2 linked regions of the Xenopus tropicalis genome follow. The protein of the gene in region 2 purifies or fractionates together with the protein of the main gene of each other region. This does not show direct contact. Links are inferred from orthologs where the notes say so. Each region holds a gene or a part of one and is shown on either strand. Other genes may lie near its edges.

Region 1 (4,311 bases), on a different chromosome or scaffold from region 2:
CCAGGTATCCCTTACCCACAATTCCCTGCTCTCTGTCCCACACACACACACACACACACACACACACACACACACATATCCAGGTATCCTTACCCACAATTCCCTGCTCTCTGTCCCTCACACACACACACACACACACATATCCAGGTATCCCTTACCCACAATTCCCTGCTCTCTGTCCCTCACACACACACACACACACACACACACACACACACATATCCAGGTATCCCTTACCCACAATTCCCTGCTCTCTGTCCCTCACACACACACACACACACACATATCCAGGTATCCCTTACCCACAATTCCCTGCTCTCTGTCCCTCACACACACACACACACACACACATATCCAGGTATCCCTTACCCACAATTCCCTGCTCTCTGTCCCACACACACACACACACACACACACACACACACATCCAGGTATCCCTTACCCACAATTCCCTGCTCTCTGTCCCACACACACACACACACACACACACACACACACACACACACACATATCCAGGTATCCCTTACCCACAATTCCCTGCTCTCTGTCCCTCACACACACACACACACACACACATATCCAGGTATCCCTTACCCACAATTCCCTGCTCTCTGTCCCTCACACACACACACACACACACACACACACACACACACACACACACACATATCCAGGTATCCCTTACCCACAATTCCCTGCTCTCTGTCCCTCACACACACACACACACACACATATCCAGGTATCCCTTACCCACAATTCCCTGCTCTCTGTCCCTCACACACACACACACACACACATATCCAGGTATCCCTTACCCACAATTCCCTGCTCTCTGTCCCACACACACACACACACACACACACACACACAACACATCCAGGTATCCCTTACCCACAATTCCCTGCTCTCTGTCCCACACACACACACACACACACACACACACATATCCAGGTATCCCTTACCCACAATTCCCTGCTCTCTGTCCCTCACACACACACACACACATATCCAGGTATCCCTTACCCACAATTCCCTGCTCTCTGTCCCACACACACACACACACACACACACACACACACACACACATATCCAGGTATCCCTTACCCACAATTCCCTGCTCTCTGTCCCACACACACACACACACACACACACAACCACACACATATCCAGGTATCCCTTACCCACAATTCCCTGCTCTCTGTCCCTCACACACACACACACACACACACACACACACACACACATATCCAGGTATCCCTTACCCACAATTCCCTGCTCTCTGTCCCACACACACACACACACACACACACACACACACACACATATCCAGGTATCCCTTACCCACAATTCCCTGCTCTCTGTCCCACACACACACACACACACACACACACACACACACACACACACACACACATATCCAGGTATCCCTTACCCACAATTCCCTGCTCTCTGTCCCTCACACACACACACACACACACACACACATATCCAGGTATCCCTTACCCACAATTCCCTGCTCTCTGTCCCTCACACACACACACACACACACACATATCCAGGTATCCCTTACCCACAATTCCCTGCTCTCTGTCCCTCACACACACACACACACACACACACACACACACACACACATATCCAGGTATCCTTACCCACAATTCCCTGCTCTCTGTCCCTCACACACACACACACACACACATATCCAGGTATCCCTTACCCACAATTCCCTGCTCTCTGTCCCTCACACACACACACACACACACATATCCAGGTATCCCTTACCCACAATTCCCTGCTCTCTGTCCCACACACACACACACACACACACACACACACACACACACACATCCAGGTATCCCTTACCCACAATTCCCTGCTCTCTGTCCCACACACACACACACACACACACACACACACATATCCAGGTATCCCTTACCCACAATTCCCTGCTCTCTGTCCCTCACACACACACACACACATATCCAGGTATCCCTTACCCACAATTCCCTGCTCTCTGTCCCACACACACACACACACACACACACACACACACACACACATATCCAGGTATCCCTTACCCACAATTCCCTGCTCTCTGTCCCACACACACACACACACACACACACACACCACACACACACATATCCAGGTATCCCTTACCCACAATTCCCTGCTCTCTGTCCCTCACACACACACACACACACACACACACACACACACACACACACACACACACACACATATCCAGGTATCCCTTACCCACAATTCCCTGCTCTCTGTCCCACACACACACACACACACACACACACACACACACACACACATATCCAGGTATCCCTTACCCACAATTCCCTGCTCTCTGTCCCACACACACACACACACACACACACACACACACACATATCCAGGTATCCCTTACCCACAATTCCCTGCTCTCTGTCCCTCACACACACACACACACACACACACATATCCAGGTATCCCTTACCCACAATTCCCTGCTCTCTGTCCCTCACACACACACACACACACACACACACACACACACACACATATCCAGGTATCCCTTACCCACAATTCCCTGCTCTCTGTCCCTCACACACACACACACACACACACACACACACACACACAGTAGCTGCTGGGGAGGGATACTGGGAGTTGTAGTTGAATACGGACCAGGCCGCACTACAAGTGACGGGAGTCCCAGCCAGTGACAGAGCAGAAGGAGCCGGAGGGCCCCCCCCCCAGCAGACACACGGCCCGGGGGCCACTCACCTTCCCCGATCTTCTCCAGCTTCTCGTACTTCTGCATGATAGCACCGGCAGGCCGCCCTCACTGTTCCACTCAGTACGCATGCGTACAGACCCGCCCCGGAAGGAGACTTCAGCCAATCCAATCTGTGCTACTGGATTCCCCTCTTACTGAGCGCTGTGCGGCAGGGTTAGCCCCGCCCAGTCTGTCACGGAGAAGCGGTTACCATGGAGACAGTAGGAATGGGACGCTTTGTGGGGGCGGGGAGGCGGCCATGTTGGTACACCCATCTATGCAGCTTTGTCCCCTGCAGTAGCGCTGTCCTTTCCTTATAAAGCTGCTAATAGTGTTTGAGAGAGAAATAGGGGTGGGAGTAGGGCACTGAGCTATGGAATCCTGGGGTTATTGGCCTCACAATGCGCCTACAGAGGGATATGGCGTGTTGCTTTGTGTGTATCAGGCTGAGGGGTAGAGACCGGTAACTACCATACAGCAGGGTACAGACCTCTCCCTCAGCTCTGTGACATCACACACGGGGTGCCGGAGCTCCATGACGTCACACACGGGGTGCCGGTGCTCCATGACGTCACACACGGGGTGTCAGAGCGCCATGACATCACACACAGGGTGCCAGTGCTCAATGACATCACACACAGGGTGCCAGAGCTCAATGACATCACACACAGGGTGCCAGAGCTCAATGACATCACCCACAGGGTGCCGGTGCTCCATGACATCACACACGGGGTGCCGGTGCTCCATGACATCACACACAGGGTGCCGGTGCTCGATGACATCACACACGGGGTGCCGGTGCTCCATGACATCACACACAGGGTGCCAGAGCTCAATGACATCACCCAGAGGGTGCCAGTGCTCCATGACATCACACACAGGGTGCCAGTGCTCTATGACATCACACACAGGGTGCCAGTGCTCGATGACATCACACACGGGGTGCCGGTGCTCCATGACATCACACACGGGGTGCCAGGGCTCAATGACATCACCCACAGGGTGCCAGTGCTCGATGACATCACACACGGGGTGCCGGTGCTCCATGACATCACACACAGGGTGCCAGTGCCCTATGACATCACACACAGGGTGCCAGTGCTCGATGACATCACACACGGGGTGCCGGTGCTCCATGACATCACACACGGGGTGCCAGGGCTCAATGACATCACCCACAGGTGCCAGTGCTCGATGACATCACACACGGGGTGCCGGTGCTCCATGACATCACACACAGGGTGCCAGTGCCCTATGACATCACACACAGGGTGCCAGTGCTCGATGACATCACACACGGGGTGCCGGTGCTCCATGACATCACACACGGGGTGCCAGGGCTCAATGACATCACCCACAGGGTGCCAGTGCTCGATGACATCACACACAGGGTGCCGGTGCTCCATGACATCACACACGGGGTGCCAGTGCCCTATGACATCACACACAGGGTGCCAGAGCTCCGTGATGTTTTTACAGGTATGGGGGTGACTGTGATAATAATAATTAGCTGTGCTGTATGGGGGGGGGGCAGAATGGGG
Region 2 (2,355 bases):
CCCGAGGAATGTAATCATGGTGATCTATGGCCTTCACCGCCTACAGTTTAATACATCTGAGCCGACCAGTTTACAGGTTCGGAACAATGGTCTTCACCCCCGTCCAGACCAATAAGCCCATGAGAAACTGAGGTTTGAGCCCAAATAAGGTCACACTGTACTTCTTGACCACAAGGCCCAACCCTATGATAACTAATAATAAGGGGAACATAACACAACAGGATGGCTATGGGAGGTCATCAAGAAGGGCATCTTAGATACCATAACGGAATCTAGGAGGGACCTATGTAATGTTTCTGTTAAACAAAGGGAACATAAGAAATGAAAGCACACTGACGACTTAACACTCAACAGTTGACAGACATATTGTATATTACTGGTAGCGGCACTACTGGAAAGACAGGTTGATATTGGCTAGTGCTTATATATATTTCTCATTTCAACAATAAAGGAACAATGGCAGCTGACAAAGAGGAAAGGCAATACGCTGAATGAGCAAAGAAAATTGTAAAGAATATACATAAGGATAACATAAACCCCATTTCTGAGTAGGGTGTGCTATAGGTCTTAAATAAACAGCAAATGACTAGGGCACAATGAAGAGAACATTCCATCTCTGTATAATCCTTGTATAAGCTAAGTCCAATTTGTAGCCTCTATGTATAACTACAACCCTGCTGGGCCTGGGGGGGCCTCTTGAAAGGCAGCTCTTCTTTCTCTGGTCTTCACACATCTCTACCTTCGGGCCCTAAGTGAAGCTCAATAAACATCTTTGAGGGGCTTGTTCCATTAACCAGTCGCCTGTGAACCTAACAAGGACGTTTTTAAAGCGTTCTTCTGTAGTGGACTCAAGACATTGTTCCAGAACAAAGCTTGAAGCCGCCCCAACTTCACAGCTTTGTGATATGGATCATTGACTTCCACCATTGCTTGTCCTATTCTTCCTGGTCGCTTTCATTGCCAGGAAAAGGTTTATTGCTCCCAAATGACTGAGGTGCATCTACTGGAGGACTGGGAGTGAGAAGTGGGAGGGAGGGCAAACCACCCAGTTAGAATACCAGCTACTGTAAAAAGCCCAGGAGATCATTAAAAGATGGCTTCATAAAAGTCCATCACATTTGGCAGGACAATGAGGATCCCACCAGCCTTTATAAACCAAGGTCAGGAGATGCCAGAAGGCCTGTGTTTGATGTGATCTTTCTTTTTTTTTTACTTAGCCTTTGTTTTGTGCATACTGTGGGATTCATTACGTGCCCCCAAACCACACATTCCAGAGCAAAAATGTTCAACTAAAAGTCTCAGCTTACACTGTTCAACATCTAATATCTAGGGCATCAAATACATATTGACCACAAGCTTCACCCTAACTGACCTTCAAGCTATGCTTTTTGTTTATGTAGAAAAGCAAATGGCCAGTCTCCCCAATTTTCATTGGCTTTCAGACTGAGCCCCCCCATCCCCTCAGCCACAGCTCAAGGCCTTTCCTGCTGAGCCACTGCATTGGAATGTCAGCATATCAAGGGTCCAACAAAACTTCAGCACCATTTTACAAAACCACTAAGCAAAGGAGTTCAAGCCAAGCAACAATCTCCTATAATTGGTCTGTGTGACTTACCGGGTCACATTTGATGACCTGTGATAGAAAAAGCGTGAGGCGCTGAGTGGAGAAGACACTGTCGGCGTTTCCCAAATTTAGTCCCTGAACGGCTGCTGCAACACTGCCGGCGGCGATCATGGAGGGTGGATTGGAGATAAACTTTATATCTGCAAGAGAGGAATTTGAGAAGAACGTATTAGATTGAGAGCAAGAGCATTATCAGCACTTTCTTACAATATAAATATATATATATATATATAGAGTGGGAAGAGCCAAGTGCTTACTCATCAGAGCAACTTTAAAGTTCAATCAAACTTGGGTAAGGTGAGGGGGATTGATTACAAAGCACAAGCATCAGAGAGTCTTTCATAACAGTAACGTTTCAGCTTTATTAACCTTCTTCAGACCCCCGAAGGCTGGTGAAATCCGTCTCTTAAGTGGTGTTGTACGCCCTGACTCCCTGAACCTTTCATTACCCGGAGCAGGCTTGGCGTGCCAGAAATGAAAAGAACTGGTCACAGTGCCTCCCTCCCCTCCCCTGCCTGTGCCTCTGCCGCTCCGGGTACAGTAGAAGTCATTACGCTTTTCATGTAACACAATCGACTCATTTTCGCTTCCGTGCACAAAAGAATTCCATTTGCGCGGCGTTTCAAAGTGACCTGGTAATGCTCTCTAAACTCCTGGACCCATTTCAAGGTTAGGAGCCGAGGGATTGTCTCCGGGGTTCCAAAGCGACAGCGAGCAGTAAGTAATAAATA

Evidence for each region. The genes of interacting proteins can lie anywhere in the genome.
Region 1: the proteins of ccnd1 (region 2) and cdk5 purify together in Homo sapiens (co-immunoprecipitation; 4 studies listed by BioGRID and IntAct, counting the BioPlex papers as one, with this or other methods). This does not show direct contact. The link is inferred for Xenopus tropicalis from reciprocal best matches to the Homo sapiens genes CCND1 and CDK5.

Annotation. Positions count from the first base shown.
Region 1 is NC_030682.2:1,367,044-1,371,354, forward strand, and holds the start of cdk5 (cyclin-dependent-like kinase 5), read right to left. Parts: upstream 2,846-4,311; 5' UTR 2,816-2,845; coding exon 2,779-2,815; intron 1-2,778. UniProt on the Homo sapiens protein: Proline-directed serine/threonine-protein kinase essential for neuronal cell cycle arrest and differentiation and may be involved in apoptotic cell death in neuronal diseases by triggering abortive cell cycle re-entry. Interacts with D1 and D3-type G1 cyclins.
Region 2 is NC_030680.2:14,450,340-14,452,694, reverse strand, and holds part of ccnd1 (G1/S-specific cyclin-D1), read right to left. Parts: intron 1,765-2,355; coding exon 1,616-1,764; intron 1-1,615. UniProt on the Homo sapiens protein: Regulatory component of the cyclin D1-CDK4 (DC) complex that phosphorylates and inhibits members of the retinoblastoma (RB) protein family including RB1 and regulates the cell-cycle during G(1)/S transition.